Linked DNA regions of Elephas maximus indicus. Each later gene encodes a partner of the first gene's protein in a complex. Links are inferred from orthologs where the notes say so. Each region holds a gene or a part of one and is shown in the gene's direction. Other genes may lie near its edges.

What was found.
Region 2: the proteins of NTRK2 (region 1) and NTF4 are in contact, whole or in part, in a crystal structure (PDB 1HCF), measured with the Homo sapiens proteins. The link is inferred for Elephas maximus indicus from reciprocal best matches to the Homo sapiens genes NTRK2 and NTF4. Residues at the interface, in NP_001018074.1 of Homo sapiens: Phe291, Glu293, Thr296, Ser297, Asp298, His299, Cys302, Pro304, Thr306, His335, Val336, His343, Gly344, Cys345, Asn350, Thr352, His353, Met379, Gly380, Trp381, Pro382, Gly383; in NP_001382418.1 of Homo sapiens: Gly81, Val82, Ser83, Glu84, Thr85, Ala86, Ser89, Arg90, Arg91, Gly92, Glu93, Leu94, Ala95, Asp98, Ala99, Ser101, Gly102, Trp103, Thr105, Tyr135, Phe137.
Region 3: the proteins of NTRK2 (region 1) and FRS2 are in contact, whole or in part, in an NMR structure (PDB 2MFQ), measured with the Homo sapiens proteins. The link is inferred for Elephas maximus indicus from reciprocal best matches to the Homo sapiens genes NTRK2 and FRS2. Residues at the interface, in NP_001018074.1 of Homo sapiens: Pro498, Asp499, Val501, Ile503, Gly504, Met505, Thr506, Lys507, Ile508, Pro509, Val510, Ile511, Glu512, Asn513, Pro514, Gln515, Tyr516, Gly518, Ile519; in NP_001036020.1 of Homo sapiens: Val26, Asp27, Asp28, Asp29, Gly30, Tyr59, Leu60, Cys61, Leu62, Arg63, Arg64, Tyr65, Gly66, Tyr67, Asp68, Ser69, Asn70, Leu71, Phe72, Ser73, Gly77, Arg78, Ile86, Ala88, Lys90, Phe98, Gln102, Met105, Gln106, Ser109.

What each region holds. Positions count from the first base shown.
Region 1 is NC_064827.1:101,995,751-102,003,593, forward strand, and holds the start of NTRK2 (BDNF/NT-3 growth factors receptor), read left to right. Parts: upstream 1-4,805; 5' UTR 4,806-5,105; intron 5,106-5,612; exon of another isoform or gene 5,613-5,697; intron 5,698-5,853; exon of another isoform or gene 5,854-6,001; 5' UTR 6,002-6,214; intron 6,215-6,703; 5' UTR 6,704-7,068; coding exon 7,069-7,280; intron 7,281-7,843. UniProt on the Homo sapiens protein: Receptor tyrosine kinase involved in the development and the maturation of the central and the peripheral nervous systems through regulation of neuron survival, proliferation, migration, differentiation, and synapse formation and plasticity.
Region 2 is NC_064829.1:99,427,597-99,434,654, reverse strand, and holds NTF4 (neurotrophin-4), read left to right. Parts: upstream 1-3,967; 5' UTR 3,968-4,025; intron 4,026-4,138; exon of another isoform or gene 4,139-4,166; intron 4,167-4,698; exon of another isoform or gene 4,699-4,716; intron 4,717-5,092; 5' UTR 5,093-5,216; intron 5,217-5,435; 5' UTR 5,436-5,520; intron 5,521-6,025; 5' UTR 6,026-6,037; coding exon 6,038-6,670; downstream 6,671-7,058. UniProt on the Homo sapiens protein: Target-derived survival factor for peripheral sensory sympathetic neurons. May promote ameloblast differentiation and subsequent reduction in proliferation of ameloblasts.
Region 3 is NC_064822.1:130,637,796-130,645,403, forward strand, and holds the start of FRS2 (fibroblast growth factor receptor substrate 2), read left to right. Parts: upstream 1-4,536; 5' UTR 4,537-4,628; intron 4,629-7,608. UniProt on the Homo sapiens protein: Adapter protein that links activated FGR and NGF receptors to downstream signaling pathways.

The sequences.
Region 1 (7,843 bases):
GCTTAAGCACAAGAACAATTGTGAGCATGGTGCAGGACTGGGCAGTGTTTCGTTATGTCGTACAGAGGGTCGTTGTCAGTCGTAACCGACTCGATTGCACCCAACAATTGTTTTTGTATGATTTCTAGTTGTGGATTTATTTTGGCATTCCTGTATTGTTTTCCCGAATTCTTCCATTATTTTTGGTCTGCCTTTTCCATGAATTCGTCTATTTTTTTCTTCATTTTTGTCTGCTTTTTACTTCAGCTCTTAGATAGCTCTGAATATTAGAGATTTGAATTCCCTATATTTTTTTTATGATCAGGTAGTTCTAGTGACTTTTCTTCTTCTGGAAAGTCACCTGATGTTTTATTTTGGATGTCCACTGGAACTTTTTTTGGGTACTGGAACCAACCTGTCCTTTTTTTTTTAAGCATGTTTTCATATTGTCTGCTGTCTTCAGGACATTCAGTAGTTCTATTCTTCATTTATTGATCGTAGATTTGTTTGTTTTATCCTGCTTTTTTTTTTTTGTTTTATTTGGTTATGTCTGAGCAGGTGGGCTGTGCGTTCTTTGTTATTTGCTTGTCTGTGGGTACGGTACTCTTCACCTCCTTGTCCAAAGGGCAGGGCCATTCACTCAGCTACGGTGTAGCAGGGCAGGTTCAGCAGGTGCTCTGTCTCCTGCCGGGAGCTCTGTGGATCTGCTTTCCTGTACTCCCTGTCCACTGCTCTTTGACATGGGCGGGGTGAATCCAAGCTGCACGGGGCCTTCACCTGCATGGAGCGCTCAGCTAACTAGAAGTGATGGATGCTCAGCAGCGGGGAGAAGGATGGGGGGTGGGAAAGTGTATATCGCCAGTTACCAGGTGCTCTGTGTCCTGTTGGGAGTTCTGTGAAGCTGCTTTCTCCTACTCCCTGTCCGCTGATCTCCGACAGGAGTCCAAAATGGTGAATCTGTGCTGTGTTAGCTGATAAGGGACCTCTGCATGTATCTTTCTTTGCTCTCCATTCTCTGTCAGCTTCTTCGTCTATTCGGTGCTTGGCTGAGTTATTTATCTCTTCATTTGATGCTTAGGGTTTCAGGACTGACATTTGTCTCCATTTTACTTAGTTTTTTTGAGTCTTTACTGTGGAGGGATGGCATGGTGCTTCAGTCTATAGCACCATGTTGTCTCCTCTTCCTTCCAAATTTTCATATGCTGTGTTTTCAACTTCTTTTTGACTTCTTCTTCATCTCAGCACTGGATACTGTTGCCTTCAATCCTTTCAGTGGGCTTTTCTCTGGTCTCAGGTACTTTCCTCGCCCACACGTGGTAGTCAGTTCTCCGCTGAATACTGAAGATCTTTGGATTTCTTTCTCTGTGCAACTCTTGCCTCCTTCTACTCCCTCCTTGATTTTCCTGGACTCTCAGCTGTGCCTTCTCAAGTCAGGGAACCCTATGGACTCTGCCTGGGTTCCCTCTCCCTGATCCATGGCCTGAGGTTATCTGAAGGTGGGGGGCTCAGGCAAGTGTAGGGCTCACCTTGTTTTTTTCCCATGCTTCAGTTTTATAAAATGTTGTTTCATATATTTTGATATCTTCTCACATATCAAAGAGAGATGGCTTGGTTATTTTGCTCGGAAGTTAAATCTGTTCCCTAAATACTCCTTAGAAACAGAAGTTGGCATTATCTTTATTTTTTACAACCTGTATTGGATGTTGAAATCAATTTATTAAAACTACAAAATGAACCAATGTCACTGAACAATTTGTGTAGAAATTGCCAAATGGGAACCTAATTTGCTGTGCAAACTTTCACCAAAAACACAATAAAATTTATTTTAAAAATTAAAGAAAAAAAACCCCAAAATAATGTAGAATAGAAAAGAAAATATGCATTGCATGTATTAAGGGTAAATAAGTTTTATTATGTTACACTTTGTTCAGTTATATGTATGTGTGTACTGGGTTGGAGCCCTGGTGGCGTAGCGGCTAAGAGCTTGGCTTCTAACCAAAAGGTAGACAGTTGGAATCCATCAACTGCTCCTTGGAAACCCTATGTGGCAGTTCTACTCTGTCCTATAGGGTTGCTGTGAGTTGGAATCGATTCTATGGCAACGGGTTTGGGTTGTTTTTTTTTTTTTTTTTTGGTACTGGGTTGTGATGTAAAAGGCATTTCTTATTGTGGGTCATGGTCAAAATAATTCGAGAAACACTGTTCTAGGTACTTCATGGTCCAGTACAGGTTGATGTTCTTAGTTGCTGTGGAGTCATGGTGACCCCACGTGCAACCCCATGCCTAGTCCTGCACCCTCCGCATAATCAGTTGCAGATTAGACACTTGTGATACATAGGGTTTTCATTGGCTGATTTTCTGAAGTAGATCTCCAGGCCTTTCTTCCTAGTCCTTCTTAGTCTGGAAGTTCCGCTGAAACCTGTTCAACGCCATAGCAACATGTGAGCCTCCACTGACAGATGGGTGGTGGCTGTACATGAGATGCATTTGCTGGGAATCAAACCTGGGTCTCCCCACATGGAAAGTAAGAATTCTGCCAGTAAACCACCAATGCCTTCCTGTACAGGGTAAGAGTCTGTAAAACTTCATCTTCATCCCTGCATTGAAAGATTCACATGATCTTGGGAAAAGTATCTATTTCATTTTGTTCATTTGCTGTAAAACCAAAAACCAAACTCAGTACTGCCAAGTCCAGTCAGATTCATAGTGACCCTATGGGGCACAACAGATCTGCTTCATAGGGTTTCCAAGGCTGTAATCTTTATGGCAGCAGACTGCCACATCTTTCTCCTGAGAAGCGGCTGGTGGGTTCAAACCTCCAACTTTGCCGTTAACAGCTGAGTGCTTTAGCCACTGCACCACCAGGGCTTCTGTTCATTTGCTATACGGGTCGTATTGTTGTTGTTAGGGACTGTCAAGTCAGTTCCGACTCATAGCGACCCAATGAACAACAGAATGAAATACTTCCTGGTCCTGTGCCATCCTCACAATCGTTATGATGTTTGAGCAGATTGTTGCAGCCACTGTGTCAATCCATCTCATTGGGGTAGACTCTTCCTTGGAGGGGGCAGCTTTTCCCCAGGTGAATTTTGAGTGCCTTACAAACTGAGGGGCTCATCTTCCAACACTATATCAGACAATGCTTTGCTGCTATTCATAAGGTTTTCACTGGCTAATTCTTTCCAGAAGTAGGCCATAGAGGTTGTATAGTTCCTGAAATGATGCCTGTGAAACATCTTGTAGGTCTTAAAATTTTAAAGTTGAAATATATCCACAATTTCATCAGCTAAGACATATTAAGTGATTGCCCAGTATGTTCCATGCGCCATGGATGATAAGGTTGAGTCACCTGCTCAGAGAGAGGCCTTCCCTGCCTCACACTGGAGCATACCTGGCTGCTATAGGAGGCAGGAAGTAAGGTTTCATGAAGTGCTGTGAGAAGTTACAGCACAGGGAAGGCTTGGAGATTGTGGACCTGGCAGGAAGATTGTGGAGATGGTAGAAAGAATGTCTAGAGGAATTATTTAGAAGTCATTGCAGGGAAAAAAAAAAAAAATTTTTTTTTTTTTCATTGCAGGGTCAGAGATTAAGAAAGTGGTAGTGTGCAGGGACAGTTTGAGGAATCACGGTTTTAGTTTATTTCATGTATTCATTAAACACACATAGAAAGATATATTTTAACATCTACAATGTCCTTGAGATATGTCAAGGAACCAGGCAGATAAAAATCCCTGGCCTCATGGAGCTTGCATTCTACTGGGATAAACACAATAAACAATGAATATAATACGTAAGTAAATGATCTGTTAAACGGCCATCAGGACTATGGGAGAAAAGCAGAGCAAGGGAAAGGGTGATTAGCCAGTTCTAATTTTACCTGGGAGATACTCAGGGGGATAAACTTCGGATCTAAATATAATAGTAGTATATATCTATTACAAAAAATGCTAAAAATACTGGAGCATAATTGGAATCTTCAGGTCTACAATCCACTCTAAAACTCAGATCTTTGGACGCTGCATTGTCACTTAGCAGCCACTAGGGCGCAAATGGGCCATTTGGAAGAAAATAGGGTGAGAGTGGGGGTATGAAAGAGATGCAAGGAATTATGTACCCCTCTCAATCGCAGATGTTCCGAAGGGGCAGCTCTGCTTCAGGAGACCGGTAAGAAACGTGGGATTTTACTGCGTGACCTGACCCAAGACATCTTTGCCCTCAACTTCCTTTCCTTAGCATGTCCTCACCCAAGTAGGGGATGGGGCTCAGAGAAGGCAGGAACTTCAGCCTGGCTGTTCAGCGTGTCACAGGCAGGTAAAGGTGGTGAGGCAGATCTACTGGCCATGTCTTCGTTGCCAGCAGCGAGACTTTGGTAGCTGCGCGGGCATTCCCACGGTACACTCAGCGCCTAGGGTCTACACAAAAGCCCCACTGGATGCTTTCGGTTCACTTGTAATATTTAAGGCGTCACTGAGATCCGAGCATTCATCTTGAAGTTTGGATTTCTCTATTCTTCCCACCTCTAGCCTCTGTGGGCAGATTAATGACCATTTTTGTCTTTTGGAGGAGACCTCAGTCCATCGCCCTCTCTAGCGCCTAGGGCAGTCCGCCTTTTTCTGAAGCAGGAGCTGGGCAAGGCCAGAAGGGCCACGCATCGGGCGTACCCGGGTGCGCACGCGTCGGGCGCAGCTGGTTGCGCATCTGGCTACAGAGCGCGCCCCCGACACCGCGCGGGTCGCAACCGCGGCGGTGGGCTGGTGCTCCCGAGCGTGCCGGGCGCTTTCTCCCCGCGCGGGGGCACCAGAGCCCTCGGAAGTGTCAGGCACTGCGGTGCATTTTCTCAGTTCCCTTTTAAATGACTGCGGAAAAACAGACTCTCTGAGCCGCAAATGGGAAGACGGATTCTAAGACAAGGCTCGCGAATGCCCCGGAGCCATCATTTACCTGCGCCTGCAGAGCAGTTACGGTTTATCACTCGACTCGTCCGGATCGCCTCGTTTGTCCCTAGTGAGACCCTGAGGCTTTGCCCGCGCCGGGCTTCTCGGTAGCTGAATGCATGTCGTGCTCCAGGGAGCGCGGGCACAGGGCACGCATTCGCGCACACCCGCGCACACACGAACACGCACAAGGTACGGCAGGGGAGTACGGGCTCGGGGTGCCCCGAGTAGGGGTGGGTCTCGCGGGGAGTAAAGCTACGACCTGGGAACGGCTGCGTCCTTCCAGGTTAAAGAAAAAGAGAAAATGACGCGGCGCCACACATTGGACAGGCCAAGGCTGCTTCCGCGCATTTAGGAAACCCAATACGGGTCAGGCGAGCCCCCTTTCCTTCACATGGCTCTATTTCCCAAGCGTGTGATGCCAGAAATCGGCAGAAAAAAGACCCACTTAGAGAGCCCAGAGTTGCGTTTGGAGACTCCCCTCCCTCTGCAAAAATACAACAGGAAGACCTTCCAAAACCACCGATCCCCAGATAGGTGGCCCGGAATGGGGGTGGTGATCTTTGGTTGCCAATGCAGAACACTTTTTGGTATTTACAATATTTATTTATTTTTAGGATAGCCCGCCCTCCCTTTTCGGCAGGGTGGGAAAGGAGAACGCAGCAGGGAGGGGTTGGGAAGATTCCTATAATAAGAATCAGCGCATTTTTCAGAGCTGAACCGAGCCCGGTTTCCATTTCAAAAAAAGGCAACAGCCTCTACTGCAATTGTAGAAGAGACTGCGGTGAGAATTAGGGACCTGGGGGCTGGGGGAGGCGTTGAGTGGAGGAATGGTCCATCTCAGAGGTACCTGGATCTAAATGCACACACGCACACACACTGGCGCGCGCGTCTACACGGCCAGGATGTGTGCGTGTGTGTGCGCGCGTGTGAACTCCCACATGCTGCTGCTGTCTGCTTCTGGCCAGTGGCACCCGTACTTCCCTCCTCCTCTCTCGCCCCCAGATTCTCCTCCCCTCCCTGTTGCTTTTGTCTGGAGGGTGTTATGGGTTTGTGTGTGTATAAGCGTGTGTGTTTTTGGATTTCAGACTAATTTTCTGGAGTTTCTGCCCCTGCTCTGCGTCAGCCCTCACGTCACTTCGCCAGCAGTAGCAGAGGCGGCGGCGGCGGCGGCTCCCGGAATTGGTTTGAAGCAGGAGCCTCGCTCGCTCCTTCTCTTGCGCTCTCCGCGGCTCAGTGCCCGGCGGCGGGAGGAACGTGGATCCAGGCGCCGCCGGCGGGTGGGAGGCGCCGGAGCCTGGGTGAGCAGCGCGGGCAGTGCCCTTCGTCCCCTCGGCCCTCACTATCCCCCCTGGGGCGGCCTCAGCGGCTCCCCAGGTGGGACGCGCCGCGCCACCTGCCCGCGCTCCCAGCGCCCAGCGGCCGTGGCGGATTCTGCAGCATCATTCGGGGACCCCGTCGCGGAGTCAGCACCGCCGGCAGTCTCAGCGTCCCCCTATAGAGGGTCCTTCGCCCGGCCTACGCCATGGAATCCTGTGGGGGGGACTTTTGCCCTACCTTCCCTTCCCTGACCTCAGGCTTGGAGAGAGGGTGGGCGCACTGTTTGCCCCAGCAGCGTCAGTGCCATCGTGGGGCAAGTCGATTTCTAGGGGCCGGAGCGGGGCCCTCATCCATCCATGGTTTCCCTGCTGGGGTCGGGGTGGGGGTAAAGGGAGCGCAAAGGGAGAGTACCCCAATTCGCGGTGTCTGGGGTCCCACGCTCAGGCTCATGTGTGTCTATTTGTCTTCAGCCTCGAGGTACGTCCCGGATCCCCGTGCGCATTTAACCAGGAGCCTGCGCGGGAGCCAGTCCCGGGAGCGCCGCCGGCCGGTGCCCACCGCGCCAGGCCATGCAGCGGCGGCCGCGGCGGAGATCTGAGCGGCGGTAGCGCCCCCTGTGAGGTTGCCCTCAATGCCCCAGGCACTGTGAACCGTGCCGCCAGCCGGGACACACTCAGCCCCGGAGACGCTCGGCTCTGCACGCCGGCGACCAGCACCGACTAGTCGAAGGACCGGCGAGCGCGGGGAAGGCCGCTCGGCGCGGGCAGAGGAAGCCGACCGGTGCAGCGCGAGGACACGCACTTGGGCTGACTCGGACTGGCACTGGCGGCTAGGGATGTCGTCCTGGACGAGGTGGCATGGACCCGCCATGGTGCTGTTCTGGGGCTTCTGCTGGCTAGTTGTGGGCTTCTGGAGGGCTGCGCTCGCCTGCCCCACATCCTGCAAATGCAGCGCCTCTCGGATCTGGTGCAGCGACCCTTTTCCGGGCATCGTGGCATTTCCGAGGTTGGAGCCTAACAGTGCAGAGCCTGAGAATATCACCGAAATGTGAGTTCCTGATGCTCTTCCTCCTTTCTTTCTTCCTCAGCCCGAAGGTTCCCTCCTCAGCACTAGGGCCCGGGCCTGCCAGGCGGGTACTTTCAGGGCGTGAGTGCTGTCCCAAGTCTGGGGAGAAGTCAAATGAGAAGAGATGGAGGGAAGGGGCGCCTGTCAGTTTACCTGGCTTGGGGCTGCTAGCTCAAGGAGAAGTGTGACACTTTTATATACATATATATGTATATGTGTGTATGTATATATACTCGGTACAGAAAGGAATTCCATATATACTTTATATTTGAAAGCCCTGCTGAGTGTGCTTTCGGCTTTCCATATGATATACAATAACTTAGCTTTGGACATTTTTGTGCCATAAGATGCTATGTTTGTGTCATGTTAGAAGTTCCAGCAAGATTTAAATAGAAAGGTGGTTAAAATAATCAGCTTTCCAAAATCTGTCCAAGGAGGTCTCTCCACCAGCATCTTTCTGTGAGGTTTGGTGTTAACCAATTTCCCTTTTGATTTCATAGATCAGATTTTGCTTAGGAGATTGCAGCCAGAGATGGCCTTGGACA
Region 2 (7,058 bases), on another chromosome or scaffold:
GAGTTGTATAATCATGTGAGTCTCGTAGGGCCAGTTCAGTAGGGTCATATGATTGACTTGAATTACATTGAGTGTGTCATTGTATGAGTCCTGTAGGAATGTTGGATTGAGCTTTACTGTATGTATGTATGAGTTCTGTAGGGCCATGTTGGGTTATTTAGGATTTAGCTGTAGCACCAGGACCCAAGGATAACAACATAGGGGAGGAATTATGGATGGGGGAGTGAGCATGGCGTTGTGGGCCCTGAGAAGATATGCCAACTGGCTTAGCCAGCGTAACTCCATAAGGGAGCAAGGTTGGATTCTGTATTTGTGGATTCAGCTATTCATCCGGAGAGGCGCTGGGTGAACCAGGGAAATGTGGACACTCCTTCCATTCACACAACCTGCTTTGTTTTGCCATTCAAAACCCTTCTCTATCTGTCCTTCTCTGCATTTTTGCTCTCAGATAAGGAGATTAGGGCCACGGGAAGAGGGAGAGGAGAGAATACTGTTTGTACCCTGTTTAGACATAATGGGGGCACAGACACCAAAAGCAGGATACAGGGACCCACAGAGGTATTGAATTAGAGAGAGAAGAAGGGACAGAAATTCAGAGAGGAGGAACAGAGACCAAAGAGAGAGGGACAGAGACCTAGAGTAAGAGGAGGGAGAGAGACCCTGAGAAAGGGGAATAAAGACCCAGAGAGAGAGGGGGACAGAGACCTAGAAAGAGATGGGAACAGAGACCTGGAGAGAGAGGAGGACAGACAGTCAGAGAGAAAGGGGAACAGGGACCCAGAGAGACAGGGACAGACACCCAGACAGAGAGAAGAGGACAGAGACCCAGAAAAAAGGGGATAGAAATTCAAAGAGAGAGGCGGACAGAGACCAAGTTTGGAGGATAGAGACCCAGAGGGGGGTGTGAGACCCAGAGGGGGGTGTCATGCACCAGAGAATGACAGACACCCAGAGATGGAGACAGATCATAGAGGCCCCAGAGAAAGAGAACCAAAAGAGGAAAAGGCAGAAAAAGTCAATACCCCTAAACCCAAGAGAAAGACACAGATTCTCGATTTTACAAAACTATAAAGAGATCCTACACCAGGGTCTGTCGCCCAATCTCCCCACAGCTCAGGAAAGCTGTCAGCCACACTGGGTATCTCATCTGCTTTCCAGGGGAGAGACCCAAGTGTCAGAGAAAGGGAGAGGCTTTCCAAGGTCGCAGAGCAAGTTGCCAGGGCCGGAACTTGTGGCAGGCTGCCTGACTCCACATGCCCCCATCCGCCTGGGACACCCATGGCCTCTCAAGTTCAGTAGCCTCATTTCTGGCAGATAAAGAAATTGAGGCACAGAGGGAGGGGTGTTACCTAAGGTGGCAAAGCCAAATTTTTTCAGAGCAAAAAGGGCATTTGGAGGACAATGATAATAATGGTGATGTCGATGGTTATAATCACTAACACATACAGGGCTTCCTACGTACCAGGCATCAATCGAAGGACTTGTATTAATTTATTAAACTCATCCAGTGGTTTACAGAGTATTGTTGTCATTGTTTTTGGATATAATTACCCTTCCCCCCCCCTTCTTTAATTTGGTCAAATGAAATCTTATTTAGAGGCATCAGTGGGAAATGTCAGAGAGGACCTGGTTTGGGAGGAACACACATCCTTTCTAGTTCTTCTTGGCAACTCAAAATGCAGCTAAGGAATTCCATTTGGAAACGACTGATTTAATCCAACCACTTTTTTATACAGAGAAAGAGAGAAAAAGGTACAGATAATGAGAAGACTTTGGTAAAGGTTGTAAATAGTATAACTTTTTTTTTTTTTTTTTTTTTTTTAGGTAATTACTTCTTGCTTAAATAGAAAGGAAGTCATGTCTAGAGACAGAAATGGAGACAGACCCCCTACAGTGACAGAGACAAGCAGATGCTTAGAGTGAAGACCCCAGCACAGAGACCCAAAGAGGGAGGTGGATGCAGAGAGGGACTGAGACCTGGAGGAAGGGTAGCAATTCAAGGGGAGGAGGTAGAGCAAGAGAGAGGAGGACAGAGACCCAGACAGTGGGACACAGGGACCCAGAGAGATAGAGGAAGACAGAGACCCAGACAGAAGGGGACAGAGACCCAGAGAGAAGGGGACAGAGACCCGGAGAGAGGTGGGCAGAGACTCAGAGAGGGGGACAGAGACCCAAAGAGGGGTGACAGACCCAGAGAGAGAGGGACAGAAACCAGATAGAGGGAAGGACAGAATCCGGGGTGGGGGGGGGCGAGACCCAGAGAGAGGGAGACAAAGACCAGAGAGGAGGGGACAGAGACCCAGAGTAAGGCACAGAGAGACTCAGAAAGAGGGACAGAGACCCAGAGAAAGAGAGGAACAGACACCTATGGGCAGGGCAGAGCTTGAGGAGACCCTCCCACTATTTTTGTTACCCTTCTTTGAAAACTCAGCCCTGCTACCTCATCAGAAACCTGACTTTACACAGAGCCCCTGTGGTAGGGGGTGGAATGAGGGAAAGTGTGCTGAGGTCAGGGAGATGACCCAGAGGCTGGGAAGGTACTCCTCCCCCAGCTCCAATAAACAACTGCAGCCGCCTTCTATGCACCCTTGGCTGGGATGAGGAGGTGGAGAGGGGAACACCCTAACTAGGGGACACCCTTCCTGCCACCTTGCCATGCTATATTTAGGCTGAGGGAGGGGTACGGGATGACCCCCCAAGACGGGTGTCAGCTTTCCTCCTGAAAATAGCTCAGGGGGAGGGGAGTGGAGTCCCGGGGTGGAGGTGTTGTAGGGTGACCGGCCCTGTGGTGTAACTGTCCCGGGGCTCTCTCCAACTCCATCTTTCTTGGGGTTTCGTGGGGTCTCTGTCCCCCTCTCCCTGAAACTCTGTCTCCACTCTTTGTCTTGGTTTCTGTCACTTTTTATTTCTGTGCCTTTCCCCTTTTCTGCCTTCATCGTTCACTATCCACTCTTTCTCTAAGCAGGTCATTCTATTAGAAATACACCTTTACGTGAGTTCCATACTACCTGCAATTTCTCTTGGCTGAGCTCAGGGCCCGACGACCCTCTCCACAGTCCCCACCCAGGAAATTCCAGGATAGAGGACCATGTGGGAGAGCCCCCCACATTCACTGCCCCCCAGGGCCTCGGATCTTATCACTGCCCAAGTCCAGCTGGTTAATGTCTGGCACGGAGCTCCTGGGAAAGTGGGGATGTGAGCAGAGGGTGGGAATCTGCCCCAGCATTGACACTAAATTGGCAAAAGAAGGCAAAAGAATCTCAAAGCCCAGACTCTTGGATATGACGGAGGAGGGGGCTGGGGTCTGACTCCCGAGTGTGAGGAAGGAGGGGGCTGGGGGCCCAGACCTCTCAGTCTGAGGAAGGAGGGGGCTGGGGGCTCAGACCCCTCAGTCTGAGGGAAGAGGGGGCTGAGTGCCTGGACCCCTGACTTTGAGGGAGAAGGTTGGGGACCCCAACTCCTGGGTCTGAGGGAGGAAGGGGCTGGGGTCCTGGACTTCTGAGTCTGAGGGTGCTGGGACCCGTACTCCCGGGTCTGGGGGCGGAGGGGGCTGGGGGGCCCGGATTTCCGGGTCTGAAGGAGGAGAGGGCCGGGGCCCGTACTCCTGATTATGAGGGAAGGCGAACTGGGGCTGGGGAAGCCCTGATTTCCAGGTCTGAGGGAGGAGGCAGCTGGGGGCCCGGACTCCCGGGTCTAACGTAGGAGGGCGCAAGGGGCTGGGATTCCTGGGTCAGAGGGAGGAGGGGGCCGGGGGGCCGGGGGCCCGGACTGCCCCCGGGACCGAGAACCGCCACGTGCGAGCTAGCGGCCCGGCTCCCGCGGTCCGGCGCGAGTGGAAGGCGGCCCCGGCCCCGCCCCGCCGACGGCCCGCCCCCGCCCCCGCCCCCGCCCGCGCCCCCGCCCCGGGCCCTCCCGAGCGAGTGCGGCGCGGAGCCGGCGGGCGCGGGCGGCCCTGCAGACAGCGAGCGGGAGGTGGAGCCGCCGCCGCGCCAGGGGCCGCCGAGGAGCCAAGGACGGCGCCCCAGGTAAGAGCCTCCCGCCTCCGCCCCCGGGATGCCGGCGTCCGGGTCGCCCTGCCCCCGGGTGGGGAGGGGCGGGGGCGGGGCCGGTGGGGGCGGGGCTTGGCGGAGGAAACTGAGGCAGGAGCGCAGTGTCCGGGATATCCAGTGCGTCCCCCCCCAGCAGGGTCTCAGGAGTCCTGCCCTTCAGTCCAAACCGTCTGGTGGAAGGAGGGGCCTGGGAGTCTGCATTTTCAGTACCTGGAGAGGAGGGACCTGAACACCAGAACTCCTGGGTCCCGAGGGAGGAGGGTCCTGCGGGCCCATCAACTCCCTGGTGTGAGGGGGGAGGGAGATTGGGGCTAGAACTCCTGGGTCTGAGGGAGGAGTGGTCCGGGATTCCTGGACACCTGAGTACACGAGAGGAGGGAGCTGGGGGCCGGACTCCCGGGTCTGAGGGAGGAGGGGTCGGGGACCTGGATCCTGGGTCTGAGGGGAGGGAGCGGGGGCCTGAACTCAGGATCTGGGAGAGGAGGGCCTGGGGACTCGGACTCCTGAGTTTGAGCGAGGAGGGGACTGGGGCCCCCCGACCCCTGGGTCTGAGGATGAGGGGGGTGGAAGCTGGGACTCCTGGTCCTGGCTGGGGCAACATGCGCTCCTCTTCACACCCCACCCTTTCCGTTTCCCATCTCTGCGCCAGGGCAAGCAGCCACTCCAGGTATGTACTGTAGAAGTCTTGGGCGGGCCCTGGCCTGTCCTGTGAGGAGGGAACATTCCAGGAAGCAGCCTCGGGGACCCAGGGCCCTTAGGGACCCGGGTGTCCAGGCCCGCCCCGCGCCGCCCCCGCCGAGTCTGGGAGATGAATGGGCCGGGGAGGAGGATGTAATCTTTTCCAGCCTCCTCCATCCGCTGCCTCTCCCCTCCCCCCATCCCAGCCAGGAACCATCACCTGGGCAGGGAAGGGGCCTCTGGGAAGGGGGCGGCCCAACTCCTGGGTACCTTGTGTAGTAAGAGGAAAGCAGGGAAAGGCATATCAGGGTCTCATCCCTCCCCCCACCTGTCTATCCAATCTGCCTGTTCCTCCTTCTCCCTAGGTGGTTGCCCCCTCCTTCTCCTGAAATGTCAGGAAGGAGGGGGCCAACTGTGTCCCCCACAGGGGCCCCCTGGAGCCTGGGGGCCCCCAGCCCGGGAGCTTGGAGGCGGAGGAGGTGCTGACAGGTCTGGTAACCACCCCCTGCTTCCCAGCCCTCTCCAGGATACCCTTTCCCAGATCCACGGGCTTCTAGAATATTGTAGAGGAACTGCAGTAGCCACACCCCCCACAGCATCTCCCAGTCCTGGGTCTAGTTCACAGACAGAGAAACGGAGTCCTTGCCTGAGAGGGGGAGTGTCTTGCCGTGTTAATGGCAGTTTTCAGCTGAACTTGGGTCTTCCCAGGATCCCAGAACTTGGCCTTTCTCAAAATTTTGGAACTCACACCTCCTCCAAGCAGCAGGATTTGGGGTTCCTCAGGGTTATAGAGGTAAGATGGGCAAGTGAAATTGCCCAGGGTGGGTTCAAGTCCCGTCACTGTCGCTTGCTAGCTGTGTGACCTGGTGCCTGTAACAAGTCTCTCTGAGCCTGTGTTTCCTCATTTGTTTGTTATTATTACTGTTGTTAGTTGCCATAGGGTCAATTCCAACTCATGGCGATGCAGAGTAGAACTGAGCTGCTTAAGGTTTTCAGGGCTGTGACCCTTCAGAAGCAGATTGCCAGCCCTTTCTTCCGAGGCACCTCTGGGTGGGTTCAAAATACCAATCTTTCAAGTTGAAAGCTTAACTGTTTGCACCACCCGGGGACTCCTCGTATTAGTAATAGTAATAGAATATTTATTACTAATTTAGAAGTTGGGTATTATCCAAGTCCCAGAATATAGGGTCCTTAAAAATTCTAGAACAAGGGCCTCACCATGGTTCTGACATGCAGGCTTCCCTGGGGTTCCCAGCTTTTGCAGTCTTCTCTAACCCCAGCTCCCCCTCTCTCTTCAGGTGCTCAGCAAGATGCTCCCCCACCTCTCCAGCTCTCTCCCCATCCTCCTCCTCTTCCTCCTCCCCAGCATCCCATCAGAGCCCCGTCCCCCACCCACACCACTACCCCCATTTCTGGCCCCTGAGTGGGACCTCCTGTCCCCTCGAGTAGCCCTGTCCCGGGGCGCCCCCACAGGGCCCCCCTTGCTCTTTGTGTTGGAGGCTGGGGCCTTTGGGGAGCCTGGGGGCACTCCAGCCAACCGCAGTCGCCGCGGGGTGAGTGAGACAGCACCTGCCAGTCGCAGGGGTGAGCTGGCTGTGTGCGATGCAGTCAGTGGCTGGGTGACAGACCGCCGGACAGCCGTGGACCTGCGTGGGCGTGAGGTGGAGGTGCTGGGCGAGGTGCCTGCAGCTGGCGGCAGCCCCCTCCGCCAGTACTTCTTTGAGACCCGATGCAAGGCGGAAAACGCTGAGGAAGGTGACCCTGGTGGGGGTGGCGGGGGCTGCCGGGGTGTAGACCGGCGACACTGGGTATCTGAGTGCAAGGCCAAACAGTCCTACGTGCGGGCATTGACCGCTGATGCCCAGGGCCGTGTGGGCTGGCGATGGATTCGAATTGACACTGCCTGCGTCTGCACACTCCTCAGCCGTACTGGCCGGGCCTGAGGCTGGGCCCGGGAACTGGACAGGCCAAGGAAGAAGACACCTGGATGCTGAAGGACCTTGGGGAAGGCCTGGCTGTGCTGGGGGTCTGTTTGCAAATTTGTCAAATGCATGCCAAATCCCAGCTCTTTGATTTTAAGAGCTCAATCTGTGTAGGACAGGTGATAAAACCAAGTGGGGTATTGAAAGATGAATAGTTCTGCTGGAGGATAATGATGATGATGATGATAGCCAATATTTACTTAGTGTATATCAGCCCTAATACATAACACCTCAGCTAACTCTCTTGGATTGGACCATTGGAGGCCCTCAGCTTCTAAATTGCTGACCCTTCATTTTCAGAGGATACTGCCTGGCCCACCCTGGAGAGAGGGATAAGAAGGGTGATATG
Region 3 (7,608 bases), on another chromosome or scaffold:
TGAACCACCCTCCCCGTCCCCTTCCACACACACCCCTCTGCTGATTTACTGAGATCAGCCAGCATCAGGTTACTAGGTAGTCTCTGGCCCGACTTGAGGGGGTGGTGGTGGTGGCACTCATTTGTACAAATCTTTAAGGTGTAGTTTTTTCTTTTTTTTCTTAATGAATATAAGTTTCTATGGTGGCGAAATACTTTCTAAAAAGTACCTGAAAAACCTGTTTATTTACATATTTGTAGCTATACCAAACCAAAAACCGGTTGCTGTCCAGTGGATTTCAGCTTATAGCAACCGTATCAGACAAAGTAGAATTGCCCCACAGTTTCCAAGGCCGTAAATCTTTATGCAAGCAGACTGCCAAATCTTTTCCCCCTGGAGCGGCCGGTGTGTTTGAACTGCCGACCTTTCGGTTGAAGGTCGAGCGCTTTAACCACAATGCCACCAGGGCTCCTTTGTAACTATAAGACTTCTTGAAATTAAAATTAAGGGCGCACACAGTCTTCTTCATTACGTCAGTAAGTAATGCGTTTGTTATCGACCACCCTCTTCAAGAGGCACAGCAACGTTGCAAAGTAAATTACCAGTTTTGGGTGAAAAACAAGTTAACAAGGCTGCAGGCAAGATCAGTTTTGGCTCAGCATTTTTACTTTTAATTTTGGGCTCATGGGCAAGAGACACCCCTTGAAATCAAAGTAAGATGTCTATTTTTTTCTTTTATTTCACAATGTGTACTAACAGTACAGTATGCTGTTGTTCAAATCAGCAAATGCTTTTTGAGCACTTGTGTCAAGGCACGAATAAAACATGAAGAGGACAAAATATGATAAAGTCTTCATGAAACTCACAAGTCTAATGGGGAGATAGGCAACAATATCGCAGAAGAGAGCGAAGAATGCTATATTAAAGTGTAGATCTCAGGTCTTAAGCCGGGTGGTTTAAGTATTTGATCAGGCTCACAAACAAACAGAAAACAAACAAAGAAGCCCATTATTTTAAAGCTTGGGGAAGAGTGGACACCCAGGTAGATGTCTCTTTTGTTTAACAAAACACCTTAATGGAAGTTTGGGGTGGGAGCTATGCCACAGCCTTGCACAGTTCCAGGGGGTCAGCACTCCTATCATGGTCTGTGCAATTGGCACCCCCTTGAGCACCATTCACATTGTATTCTTTGTGAATGGTACTCCCTGGAATTGTGCAACCTGGTGATTCTGTCAACAAAGATAGGCCTGGAATCTGGTTTGAGATGGGGATTGAGAACCAAAACCTTTTACATGATAAAGTAACAGGAATTTTAAGTCTTGCCCTACTGGGTGGAAGGAAGAAAAATGAAGGAGTGCCTGGGATGGGGACAAAAAAGGGTTTGGAGAAGAGACCTCTAGGATTAGGATGGGTCAGCAACCTGGTAATAACCTGGAGTCGAAGAAAGTCAACCAGTGAGAAGTTCCCTGTGATTTCTAAAACAGATGCATGACATCCTCTATCATCTCCTCGCAGTTCCAGGAGACACTGACAAATGAATTCAACTTTTTCTTTGACATCAAGTATGGTCTTTCAGTGTCTTATGTATGAATCAGGAGATAACCAGGAAAGCTTTTAATGCCAGGGCTCACATAGCAACACCTGGTAAACAGACACTTCTGTAATGACTTGCCTTTTTACTGTTTTTCTTCAAATAGCTCAAAGTGCTTACACTTTTATTTCTTCATTTGTTCTGACATTCCAGTGTAGGAGGAGCAGATTTATGACACCATTTTTTATAGATGGAGAAATTGAAACAGAGATTAAATCGCTTACTCAATGTTGCATAGTTGGGGTGGTGGAGACCACACTGGAATTTGGTTCTCAAAGCTCCTGCCACAAAATGGAAGGAGCATAGGATTTGGAATTAGAGGGATCTTTGTTTGAACAATCCTGATTCTGCCACTTAACCAGAATGTGGCCTTAAGTTGGTCACTTCACCTAAGTTTCAGTTTTTCTCATCTGAATAATTAAAACCATAAAACCTCATAGTAGTATAGTGAAAATTGAATTAGAAAATCCATATAAAGCCCCTGGCACAGAGTAGTTCTCAAAGGACATTAGTTCCCCACCCATCCCAATATTATTTGGTTAAGTTTCTGTACAAATTTAAAGTAATCAAAAAAGGAATCTGCCATTAATGCTATTTTTTTTTTCTAGCCTAATCTCCCTTTGAGGGCAAAAAATAATTAAAATGCTTCAAGACATTATCTAGTTCAGTGGGAAGAATTTCTGCTTCGACAGAGTAATATGTGGAAGACAGTAAAATGCAGTGGTTCTCAAACTTGTGAGTATGTCAGAATCTCCTGGAAGGCCTGTTAAAATATGGACTGCTGGGTCCCACCCCAGAGTTTCTGATACACAAGGACTAGGGTTGGGCCAATCATTTGCATTTGTAACCCGTTCCCAGATGATGTTGAAGTGGCTGGTCCAGGGACTTCACTTTGCGAAGCCACGGTAGGCTTCTGGGGGTGGGACCAAGCAATCTGTGTTTTAACCAGCCCTCTAGGTAATTTTGATGCACTGACAAGTTTGAGAACCACTGGCATGGTGGTGAACAGCATTTGAGAAGACAGACTTGCATTAATATCATGGCTGCAACATTTATCAGTTAGATGACCAGGTTAAATGACCACCTCTAGTACCTCTCCGTGGGCACAGAGCCTGACACTCTGTGATTCAGGATTCTACTCAATACTCCTCTAGGGCCTGGGTGGAAACAGAAGACTTCAGTCCTGCCAACCCAGGCTCTGCTTTTTACTTCTTCACACCCGGAAGTAAGAAAGGCAGCTTGAATTTGGGTATTAAGGAAGTATCACAAAAATAAAATAATTAAGATTACTTCTAAGATCACAAAAATAAAATAAATAAAACTGCACTATAAATAAAGTCAATAGTAATGGCATTGTTTGCATCTGAAATTTGTAATAATGAGTTCTGAACTATTTTCATTTCCCCTTACTAGAAAATTAAAAAAAATCTTCCACCCACACAGTTTCAAGAGATACTTGTAAATTTGTTTTGCAGATAGTGTGCATACTAAGAGGCATTTTTTTTTTTTTTTTTCCTGTGTCTGGGCTCAGATACAGAATCTGCCTAAAATGTTCTGTGCCTTTCTGATTTTGTGGCTTTTTCTTTCCTTACCTCCCTCCTTTGCCTGCCTGGCATCTGACTCTGTGGGTCCTCACATTTTCTCGGTTCACAGCTTCAGAAGCATTCAAGCTGGCCCTGGGTCATTCTTTGGCTCACTTACCTTCAATTTTCACATTGCAAAAACCTCTGTTTCTTTGTTATTTCTTAAACTGACCTTTTCTATTGCTAACCCACACTTTTCCTAATCACCCTCTGCTAGAGTGACTCCACTAGAAGAGAAATTGTTCCTATTGTCGATGAGGTATAAGAATTGTTGATCCTGGTGGTGCAGTGGTTAAGCGTTAGGCTGCTAACCAAAAGGTCAGCAGTTCGAATTCACCAGCCGCTTCTTAGAAACCCTGTGGGGGCAGTTCTGCTCTGTGTTACAGGGTCACTGTGAGTCGCAATCAACTCTCCAGCAATAGGTTTTATAAGGTCACTATGAGTCGGAATCAACTCCACTGGCAAGGGGTTTGGTTGCTTTATCTTGGTACGGGGTACTCTGCCACGTGTTTATCATGCATTATCATCTAGAATTCTTCCAACAGCCCCCCCCTCCCACCACGTATATATTCGCCATTTTTTAAATCGAGGCTTGGAAAAGTTAGGTAACTTGCCCTGGTGAAAAATAACCAGAACCAGGTGGTGTGATTCCAGAGTCCCTCAGCTCTTGTCCTCTTTCGAAATTGCAAGTGATTATGGAATACGATTTGGTCCTTGCCCTAAAAGAACTTAAATATTTCGTTGAGGGTAGATGAGATTTATATACACAATATGAGTTAAAATAAAACCAAAAGCCAAGTTTGTGGTATTGGGTTTGGAATCTTTGACCAGTTTTTTCTTCTGCAAGATGTAGGTAATAGCACCAGCCTCAGTGTTTTGGGAATGATTCAATAAATTAACATAAGGGAAGCGCCTATTGCTGTGTCTACCACACAGTAAGTGTTCAATAAATGTTAGCTATTATTTTTTTTAAAGGAATAAGATTGGAGTGGAAAGAACACTGGAGACAGCCGGGAGGCCTAGTGTCTGCGCTGGATTCTTGCAACTAAATTCTCTGAGCCTCGATTTCCTCGTCGTTGAAATAAGGTGGCCGGAGTGAGTAGAACAACCCGGACACGAGAAAAATAAAGGGTGCGGGGTTGTAAAGGGTTAAGGTGGAGCCGCGGGGCGGATTAGGTGCAGATTTGCGCGGGCGCGGGGCGGAGAGGCCCCGCCCTTCCCCGCCCCGCCCCGCCCCGCCCCGCCCTGCCCGGGAGGCCCTGGCAGCTCCAGCCCGAGAGCAGTTCCGGTGCCAAAACCCTTCCCTCCCCGCTCCCCCGGAAGTGCTTTTCCAAGGTTCGGGCCGGAGAGAGGCCTTGTAGGCAAAGCAGCTGAAGCTCGAACGGCTCTCAAGTGGGGGCTCCAGCCAGGGTTGGAACCTGGGGTTCTGCGCTCCCTGACCCGCGCCCTCTCCCCTCCCGGCATGTAGGCCGACGGTGAGTGGACGGGGGAGCAGACTGGGACGACCTCAGGCCCGCGTTGGGGCGCTTTCGGGCCCCCGCCGCCCTCTCTGGGCTCGGGGCTGCGGGTTCGGCTGTCGGGGTCCGAGGGAAGCGGGTTGTGGGCCGCCGCGGTCTCCGCCGAGTCGTCCGGGCGGGAAGTAGCGGGGCAGCTGGGCCATGGGGATGGACGGGGCGGAGCCGGGGAGGGGGTTCCCGAAGCTGTTGTTGCTTTTGGGACTCGGGAGTGGGAATAGGCTGGGCCTCGGTCGGTCCGACTCCCTTCGTTTCTGCTCCCCCAAGACTTAGCGCCGCCTCCCCAACTTGGTTTACGGTGTCTGTCTGGGAGCTAGCGACTCGGACACCAGACTCAATCTTGGGCTCCAGTCCCCGACTTTGGTCTTCCATGGGTTTGTTCTCGGGTTCAGTAATTAGCCCAGGTCTCAGGGGTGTCGTCTCCTCAGTTGCAGGGTGGGGCGTTGCGTGCGTAGCTGCTGGGGATCTTTTGCGATGCTTTCCACGGAGACCCGCTTTGGGGTTGTGCTGGGCCGATTTGGACGGCGCTCTTAACGGGTTTTGGATACGTAGGTCACGGTGGCATCGGCTTGCCTCACATGATCTTTACTCACTTAAAAGCTTGCTGAAGCGTTTATTGAAGTCACTTCAAAACAAAACAGAAAACTTACTTGGGAAAAATCAGTACTTCACGTAAGCTCCCGTATTTTCTTGCAGACTTAAAAAAAAAAATGATGTTCTTTTCACATCTGCACTCCTGATTCCGTGGCTACCTGAAGTCACGGTTGTATGATGAGTTCAGCCTGCGGTTGTTGCATGTTTTGGAATTGCTTGCAAAGGGTTGAAGAATTGTATACCTTCTGTCCCGAAGTTTATCTTCATACTTGAAACTGTTATTTTCCTTCACTTAAAAGAAAATTTTTTCTTGTTTACTCCTCAGAGGTTTCTTACATTGTTACAGCTGTTGCTGCAGTGCAGAGAGAGGTTCACACAGGTGGGCAGAGGAGGGTGTGTGTGTGTGTAACTTAGGAAGTGTTTACCTCGAATAAATTGAGAATTTCCTAGAAGAGAGGGTGGATGTAGTTATTTTTTGATTTAAATAATATAGACTTGTTGAAAGATTATGGGAAATAAGATTTTCCCATTTCGAATGGTGATTTAAAAAAAAAAAGAAAAAATTATGGCCATAAGAGAATGTAGTTACAGCAGATTATGGCTATGAGCAGATGACTTTTTTTTTCTTTTTTAAATTTTTTAGTGTGAAGTATACATTGACCATCTTCATGAAACTAGTGAAGTTTCTGTACTTTTCTGCACCTCTTATCTTGTGGTTATATTAGGACTTATACTACAGTTATTTTGGTGTACTTATTCTCCTTTCCTTCAATGTATGGGGAGGTAATATCATGAATTAGGGAAGATAGACTGAAGTGAGTAGTTCTCCTATGCAAAGAAAATTTTATCTCAAAGGGTGGATATTTTTTAAAAACTCTCTGGAAAATATTGTGGAGGGAAGATTAGTTGCTTGACTTACAGGAGCGCTGTAGATTCCTAACAGCCTGAATTGCTTAATTGGTTAAAGCATAAAGTTGGAATATTGAAATTAAGAGAATTTGGAGAAAGAGTTAAGTTAGATATGATTACAGATTTGTACTGAAGGTTTGATAGTTAATATGGTTTGAAAGGAAATAGTTCAGGAATTGTAAGAGCAGAAAAAGATGACAGAAATCAGATGCTCTTAGGCATTGTAAATTTTATTATATTATTCACGTTAATTCAACAGATAGTAAACCTTTGCTGTGCATCAGCTTATGTTAGACAACCATGTAGGAGCATAAAAAGATACAGCCATAGCAACTCAAATTTCGGTTTTGGCAATAATTTTCTAAGGTGTCAGAAATCATGAAGAAGAGAATTATATTGTTTAGGCAGTTGGGACTTAACATTGAAGATGGGTGTTGCTAGCAGTGAAAAACACTGCTAGGCATTATAGGATACAAAGATCAAGCCTTTGGTTTCAGGGATTTGAAATCTGGTAGGAGGATGTAAGATGTTTGCATAAATATTTACAACATAAAGAAATATATGTAAATACCCCATGATCAGTTTGACCCAAAGTTTGGAGTTGTACAAAAGGAAAAAGGGTTCACTTTCAGTGGGAGTAATAATGGGAAATGTGGAAGTATAGTAATACAAGGATAGTGCGGGAGCTACTGTTTATTGAGCACTTAGTGAATGTCAGGCCTTATGTTAGCTGCTTTACATGTATTTTCTAAGATGACAACAGCCGTGTAAGCATCTTTCTTAGTAATGAGGCCCCTGAGGCTCAAATATGTTAACTTGCCTAGGTTTTTGTAGCTATCAGGTAACTAGTAACCTGAGTTCTAAGACAAAGATTCAAGGGTTGGAAGTAGTAGGTGGGTGAAGAAGGCCTTTCAAATAAAGAGAATGGCGTTAGCAGAAGCGTGGAGGTGGGGAGGTACACTGTGTACTCAGAGAAAAGCTCGTGGACCAGGTTACTTAGGATATAGGGGTCATTTTGGGGAATAAGAGATCAAGTTTGAAATTTAAGTTGCAGCTGGATTGTGGAGCATGCTTAAATGCTGTATTTAGGAGTTCAACATTTGGGAAGTGATAAGAAGCTATTGAGGTCTAATTGTGTAGTGTGTAGAATGATCTGTTGTGGAAAACTGACTTTGAATATGGTATTCAGGGCAAGGACAATGGCAGTGGGATGAGAACAGAAGTTTAACAGTAAGAAGACTTGGCAATTGATTTAGTAGGTGGGTGAGAGGGGAAATCATTGGGGAGGGTTTGGAGGAGATGGAAGTAGATTATACTCTCTAGCTGTGGGCGATGGTGATGGTGATACTTTCACTAGAACTATGGGCAAGGAGGTGCATAATGAGATCAGCATTAGATACGGTGAGTTTTTTTATATACTTGCTAAACATTGGAAATG